Macaca fascicularis: one gene and its partner. The protein of the gene in region 1 interacts with the protein of each later gene in a pairwise test. Links are inferred from orthologs where the notes say so. Each region holds a gene or a part of one and is shown on either strand. Other genes may lie near its edges.

What was found.
Region 2: the proteins of ARFIP2 (region 1) and ARF3 interact in a two-hybrid assay, tested with the Homo sapiens proteins (2 studies listed by BioGRID and IntAct). The link is inferred for Macaca fascicularis from reciprocal best matches to the Homo sapiens genes ARFIP2 and ARF3.

What each region holds. Positions count from the first base shown.
Region 1 is NC_088388.1:59,599,440-59,603,907, forward strand, and holds the start of ARFIP2 (arfaptin-2), read left to right. Parts: upstream 1-1,424; 5' UTR 1,425-1,525; intron 1,526-2,297; 5' UTR 2,298-2,339; coding exon 2,340-2,438; intron 2,439-2,689; coding exon 2,690-2,786; intron 2,787-3,495; coding exon 3,496-3,614; intron 3,615-3,794; coding exon 3,795-4,016; intron 4,017-4,101; exon of another isoform or gene 4,102-4,175; intron 4,176-4,468. Other genes in the region: TIMM10B (mitochondrial import inner membrane translocase subunit Tim10 B), read right to left, coding at 538-714, 906-1,001, 1,203-1,238. UniProt on the Homo sapiens protein: Plays a role in constitutive metalloproteinase (MMP) secretion from the trans Golgi network. May have important functions during vesicle biogenesis at certain cargo subdomains, which could be predominantly utilized by secreted MMPs, such as MMP7 and MMP2.
Region 2 is NC_088385.1:55,751,682-55,754,830, reverse strand, and holds part of ARF3 (ADP-ribosylation factor 3), read left to right. Parts: intron 1-268; coding exon 269-510; intron 511-1,347; coding exon 1,348-1,458; intron 1,459-1,675; coding exon 1,676-1,800; intron 1,801-2,346; coding exon 2,347-2,508; 3' UTR 2,509-3,149.

The DNA of each region.
Region 1 (4,468 bases):
GTCAGTCAGACTTAAGGACAACTAGACAGAGCTCCCATTTTCTGTCATCTGGGCAGGAACCAATCTCCTTTTGTATCAAATGGCCTTCTGGTACATTCTGGAATCTTGCTTCCTCATCTATTTAGTGAGGCTAATACCGCTTACTTGTAGTTTTGTTGTAAACTAAGATAAAGCCTGACATATTACTCATTTTAAAATTGTACACACAGACCCTGCTTTAACCAGATGCCTGCAAATACTCAGGTTTTCCTTCTACATATAGAAGACAACTTATCAGCTGCCAGGGCTGAAGCCAGCAGATATGGCTAAATGACAGAACAAAGGATTATGCCAATAAACTATGCAAAGCTTCCTTGCCCAGAATATAAATCAAACAGAGTAAAAAGCGAGTATATTGGCTCCAGGAAAAGGAGCAAGGACAGCCAGTTTTCAGGCGACCTCGAATTCTCTCCGTTTAGGATTCACCAACCCTAAGGTCCACTGGGTCCTTCAATCTGAGGGTCCATCCAGGGCCTTCCCTCCTGGGGTTGGAGATGGCTAGCTGCCTGATGGAGAGACCCCAGGCTGCTCAGCAGCAACGCCTGGCACAGCCGAGACAGCCTCGTAGTCTGCGATGCGGCGCTGTACCAGGGCAGGCATGAGCTGCACGTAAGCGGCCATGAGGCGGTGGTTGGAATGGATCAGCTTCCCAGCACAGCTGTGCAGACAGGCCTCCTAGAAGGAAGATAGGGTTTAAGCGGAGGACAAAGGTGTCCTGTCGGGCCCGCCTCCGTCCTTCCCCATGCACAGCCTAGGGGTGAGGGTCTGGGAAGGCCAGGACCAGAGGTAGGGGAAGTGGGGTGAGGAGGGAAGCAGTCTACCGCTAAACTCTGTTTGCAGCGTAACCTCCTTACACAGTTCCCCACCTCCTCAGCGTCCAGAGCTCGGTGGTGCAAGCTGGGCACACAACGCTGGAAGCAGAGTTCTGTCATCCGATTGTAGACCAACAGGAAGTCACGCAGCTGGGAGAAAACCGGGACCACGAACTCAGCGATATGTGCCCCACACTTCTACTCAAGGTCGCGCCGCCCAAAGTTTCCCAGGCCCGCGCACCATAACCCGAAGTTTCCAGCCCTCAGATCCCTGGCTCTATGGGGTTTCCGCGATGTGTGCAGGAATGCGAGCTGAACGTCTGGCCCCGAAACGACTTAGTTCTCACTCACGTTTCTCAGTTGCTGTTGCTGCTGCTGCTGCTCCATCACGCCACCGGCGCATGCTCTACGCCACTTCCTTTTCAGCTTCTCGGTGCCGCCCCGGAAGTAACCTCTCGCTGCTCTCGAGAACCAAGCTAGAGTATCGCCCTGCCCCGGCTTCGACGTCACTTCCGCCCTTATAATCTGCGACGTGGCCGGCTTCTTCTGCCCGGAGAGGACGTCACTTCCGCCGAGTCCCTGACCTGCTGCTAGGATCGCGACGGGAACTGGAGCCCGAGGTCCCCGCGCGGCCCGGGCCTGGCGCCCTGAGGGGAAGAGCGGCCCGGCCCGAGGTGAGAGGGACATGCTTGGGCGACGGGAAGTTGAACGCACAAACCTGTCCAGAGGGCAAGATGCCCCGAGCCCTGGGGAAGAATGAGGACACACCTGATGTCCAGGTGTATGGGGGTGGGGGCGGGGACTCACATACCTGGGAGACTGACTGTGGAAGGGATCACCGATATCCTGGTAAAGACAGGCTTTTGCCAGAGACTGGGAACATACACCAACTGATCTAACTAAGGCCTGGTGGGGAGGGCCCAAGGAAGAGGAGTTGTATGAGACGGAGGAGGGGAGACCCCCTGAAGGAAGGGGGAAGAAACACTAAAGGAGTGAGAAAGGCCAAGCAATGGAGAACAAACCTGAATGGGGGGTGAAGACCTGAGCCCTGGAAAGGGTCCATCTCCTGCTCAGCATAAACACGCCTGCATGGAGATAAGTTCTAAGAGAGCTACTTTCCCTCTTCACTGTTGTATTTTCATTGTCACAAATAGTACCTGACACAGAGTAGGCACTCACTAAATGTCTGCTGAATGACTGAATGAGTGTAGAATAATCACCAGAGGCCTGGTGAGGTTGGGGGCTTGTGAGAAGACACCGTGCTTTGGTGTGCCTGTGTACAAATGTGCATTTTGGAGGGGAGAAATACATATACCTGAAGAAAGGAATGATGACCAAACGCTGGGACACTCAAACCCTGGGACAGCCTTTAAAGAAATGACAGAGGAGGCTTCCTTCTTCTAGAGTGCTGGCCAGTGCCCAGAACTTCTGTGTTGGGCTTTGCAGGGTGCTGGGGTGGAGAGTTTTACTCCAATACCTTTCCTAGCCATGACGGACGGGATCCTAGGGAAGGCAGCCACAATGGAGATCCCTATCCACGGGAACGGTGAAGCCAGGCAGCTTCCTGAAGATGATGGGCTGGAGCAGGTGCTTCTGTTTGATTCTTCTAATTGTTTCAATTTAGGAATCCAATTTATAAATCCTGGGTTCTCACCCTCCATTCCAGTAGCCTTCCCCTGAACTTATCTGACTCCCTTAATTTTACATATCATTTTGATTCTGTGCAGACTTCCCTTGTGTAGTGTCTTTATGATGCTTGAATCCAAACTTGTTCCCACCTCCAAAATGCTTCTGCAGTCCCTATGTTCCTGAAGCAACCCCTCTTCTCTGGCCTATAGGACCTCCAGCAAGTGATGGTGTCAGGACCCAACCTCAATGAAACCAGCATTGTGTCTGGTGGCTATGGGGGCTCTGGTGATGGACTCATCCCCACAGGTATGAACAGAAACAGGAAGCTTGGGTGGAGGAGGGGACAGGAATGGTTTGGGGAAGCATAGGATATGTCTAGGAAAGCTTGAATAATGTCTGGAGATCTTAGGAACTTCTGCTTGTAGGAATCCCATGGACTCTCCTCAGCCCAAAAGCAACTCCCAGCATTGTCCATCCATTTCCCTTTTGCCACTTGGCCCCTGAAATGGCTCATTCGTCCTTTCCCTGCCACCACCTGAGTCAAGTTAAGACCTACTTCACAGGAATGCCCCCGCTCTACAGCTTGAGGCTGAGTTGGAACTTTGTGAGGCTTTTCAGAATTTTTAGATTCTAAAGTTTAGAGGAACAAACAGCCCTGAATCTCACACTAAGATTCCACATGGGAATGCAACCAGGTTTCTTGTTATCATGACCCACCATCCTTGACTCCTGCTGCCCCCAAACTCAGTGTATTTTCTTCTGTTTCCTCTGCCCCTATACACCAACAACTCCCTGCAAACCTCTCCTCTGGCCTCCAAGGAGGCCATATGTATATCAGGATTTGGTTATCACTGTGCAAGGTCCGAGTTCCTCCTAGTAAACAGGAGAATCCAGTTGTCTCTAGCATCTCCTTCAGGGAAGTCAATTTCATGTGCTGGGAGAGAAGCATGGGTGGGGCCACAGAGGTGTCTGGTGTATCTGAGAGAGGCTGGTGTCAGAGAACTTGATCCTTTAGGGTCTGGCCGCCATCCATCTCACAGCACCACTCCTGCTGGCCCTGGAGATGAGGTGGCTCGGGGCATTGCTGGAGAAAAGTTTGACATCGTCAAGAAATGGGGCATCAACACCTATAAGGTAGGATTTGAGCACCTCTCACTTCCCCAAAACTCGTTATGGGTACCTTTTTCCCCTTTCCTCATGATCGTAATATCCCATCTGTGGCTGAGAGTAGGAGCCTGGGTGGCGTTGGGGTAGATACCTGTTGTGTCGGGAGGCTATTAGGGTCTCTGATCTATTGCCCCGTTTCCCAATCAGTGCACAAAGCAACTGTTATCAGAACGATTTGGTCGAGGCTCACGGACTGTGGACCTGGAGCTAGAGCTGCAGATTGAGTTGCTGCGTGAGACGAAGCGCAAGTATGAGAGTGTCCTGCAGCTGGGCCGGGCACTGACAGCCCACCTCTACAGCCTGCTGCAGACCCAGCATGCACTAGGTGATGCCTTTGCTGACCTCAGCCAGAAGTCCCCAGAGCTTCAGGTGCCTCACCCAGACCAAAGAGGGTGGGGGAACTGGGCATGGGCCCTCCCAGGCAGTCATTCGTCATCCTCCCTCCCTCCTGCAGCCCACAGGGAGAACCCCTTCAGGGTGGGCCCAGCCCTACCCCCAGCAGCACTCACCTGTGGAGGCAGCCTAAGGGTTTGTACAGAGGTCCAGAAGTTGGAGGGGGTGGGGGAGGGGGCACACTAGGTGCTTCACAAATAACCCCTCTCTGCATTGGGGAGAATGCCTTCAGTGCTCAGCCTAATCAGAGCCCCTGCCCTGCTTGCCACACTAGCTCTTAGACTGTTCCAGTCTTGTGAACTTATCCAAGAATGCCCACCACCCACATTCCTACCCCAGGTATCCCCAGGGTGACCCCACTGACTTTTTAGCTAACAGAGCTTTGCTGGAGGCAGTCCTTGGTTCTTCCAGTTTTGCTGGCTGTTTCC
Region 2 (3,149 bases), on another chromosome or scaffold:
CCTTTCATTTACAGGTGCAGATATGGAAAAGTGAAGTAACTTGCCCAGAGTCACATGGTTAGATTACTGGCAGAGCAGGGATCCTTAGTGTTTACTGCTTTGTCTCTGTTCCCAAAGACTCAGTATGTTAAGTGGGCCTTGGTATTTATAGTCCCCTCAGACTCTCGGTTTGTCATGAATGAACTCTAGCCATGACCTTGGGAAATTCTAATTACGTGGAAGTCCTGACAAGCAAATGATGGTACGATTTTACATTTCCTTTGTCTAGGATCAGGTCTTCCATACCAGGGACCAGGCCAAAACCAGACTGCCACTGCCCCCTACTTGGGCCCCACTGTCCCCAGAAAGCAGTTGCTGTGATCATGGGCAATATCTTTGGAAACCTTCTCAAGAGCCTGATTGGGAAGAAGGAGATGCGCATCCTGATGGTGGGCCTGGATGCCGCAGGAAAGACCACCATCCTATACAAGCTGAAACTGGGGGAGATCGTCACCACCATCCCTACCATTGGTAAGAGCAGAGCTTGGATGTGGGCTTTCATGCCAGCAGCTGAGTCAGGGCAGGGACCTATTCCTGGTTCTCCCACCTGGCCTCTTCTCCCCAGGCAAGTCCATACAATTTGTGGGGTTCAGAAAAGAGGGGGGTGTTGTTTAGCTTACTAGCAGATGCTGGGGCTGCTGTTTGCCCACCTAACCTGGCTCTCCCTGATGCAGGAACTTCCATGGCCTGGCACTCAACAGTTGCCCTCAGGCATGGAGTTGGTTTTTTCTCTGTGTTGTTTGGAAAGCAGGTGAAAGGCTTTGATGTTCCTTCCAAAGGCTTGGAATTGCTTGGGTTTAGGTCTTTGGTGGCCAATCTTGGTTACAGTCTGCTGAAGGGAGGGAGAACATTTGCCATGTAGTGGGGGCTCCAGTCAGCATTCTCAGCTGGCTCTGCCTTTGGGGCTCCAGGATGCCAGCTTACTTCCCTTTCTTCACTCTGCCTCTCAGGCCTCACATCTTAGCTGAGGCCAACTCTGGTAGCCAAAGTACCAGAGTAGGGCTGAGTCATTTTGTAGAAGGGAGCACCAAAGACTCAGTGGAAAAGTCAGGAAAGTTGGCCCACGTTACCCAAGCAACTGTGAACCTCTTGACCGACTTTCCTCATCTTCTTCGACTTCTCTTCGGTTTTCATTTTGGCCTTCAGGCTGCTAGGTTAACGATTACCAGGTCTGAGGAAGCCTTAGGCTTTTTTCCATTGTTGGTGTCATGGCCACCACTGGGAGAAAGCAGAACCAAACTCATTGTGGTGGTGGTTGCAGGGCTAGTGTTTGAGGCCAAGTGACCATTGCCTGTTTTTTTCCCAAAGGATTCAATGTGGAGACAGTGGAGTATAAGAACATCAGCTTCACAGTGTGGGATGTGGGTGGCCAGGACAAGATTCGGCCCCTCTGGAGACACTACTTCCAGAACACCCAAGGTATGCCCAGGCCTAGCATGGGTTGGTTGGGTTTGAGCAGAGTGTGTGGCTGTCTTTCTTGTTTATGGGTGGCCAACTGTTACCCTGCTATAGCTCCTGGGGGCAGAAGAAAGGGAGGAAAGGGAGCAAATATTTGGAGGGTGTCAGGCAAGTGTCTTCTTGTTGGGGGGAGGGGGTTACCTGTCATCTTAGTGCAGCCCATGCTCTGCCTCCCTAGGGTTGATATTTGTGGTCGACAGCAATGATCGGGAGCGAGTAAATGAGGCCCGGGAAGAGCTGATGAGAATGCTGGCAGAGGACGAGCTCCGGGATGCTGTACTCCTTGTCTTTGCAAACAAACAGGTGAGACTTCTTCCCACCCCAGAATCTGGGAGACAGCAAACTGGCTGTGGAAATTGTTGGGTCTTGGGCCTATTATATGGTAAACCCTTTTAGTATGCTCTCAATTTTAGAAGTGTGGGAAATTGAGCAGTTGGCTTCTTTATGCCCCTCTTCTCGTGCCCCACCCCAGCTTTATTTAGCAACATTGCAGTCCTCAGGGATTGCCTCAAATCTTTCTTTCATCTTGCCTATTATCTACTTTAGGTGAATTGGCCTCACTCCTGCTGTCAGACAGACCTGATTCTTTGGTCAGTTTGAATCACGTCTCTTGCTTCCCCACCAATCTCGTATTTGGTTTCCAATTCCTCAGTACAGTGACCTCCAGTGCCTTGGATCTTGGGTTTTAGGGTGACTAAATCCAAAGTAGCTCCTTAGGATCTTGGTCTGGGTTTCCTAAAATAAAGGAGGAGGGGAAGGTGCTGGTACACATTTCTTTGGTAGATGGGTGTTCTAGAAGCCTTTAAAAAATCCTGAGGCTTCTTTTTGTGTGTCTCCCACGTGCTCCAGGATCTGCCTAATGCTATGAATGCTGCTGAGATCACAGACAAGCTGGGCCTGCATTCCCTTCGTCACCGTAACTGGTACATTCAGGCCACCTGTGCCACCAGCGGGGACGGGCTGTACGAAGGCCTGGACTGGCTGGCCAATCAGCTCAAAAACAAGAAGTGAGAGCCAGACAGCCCTAACCAAGCACCCCACCCACCCCTGACATACCTGCTGTCACCCTGCCCCAGTCCTACCCCTTCCTCTCCACTGCAAGTGTGGCCAGGGCCCTGGGTATCATGTCCGCATGCCCAGCAAGAGCCTTGCCTCCCCTGCCTCCCCTCCTTTTTCCTGTCCACCTATATGACCAATCCCTAATTGCTGTCCTGATGATGAGTCATTCCAATTTACTGGATTTTAAACAAAAACAAAGTTGTTATGGTTTCATGGGGTGGCCCCTCTCTCTCTCACCCTCTGGGTTTCGGGAGGTCGAGTGGGGTATTCTCTTTGTTTGGCAGTGGTTGCTGTCCTCTTGGCATCTGAATCCTTTCTCTGTCCCCACAAGCCCTTCTACTCCCTGTTTGTCTTTCCTTCGCCACCCTCTCCCTGTTCTACATGGAAATTGCACGGGCCTCTCTGTGTTTGCGTGCATGTGTGCGCCTGTATATACATGTATAGAGAGATATATTTGTGGGGGCCGGGGGGAGCGGGGAGGGGGTGGAGTTAAGCTCAGGGCTTGCAGCCAGGACACTGCCCACTGGAGCCTGTCATCTGCCCCTTTCGTGTTGGTGAGATTAAGGGAAGAAGGTGGGAGGGCATTAGTCAGG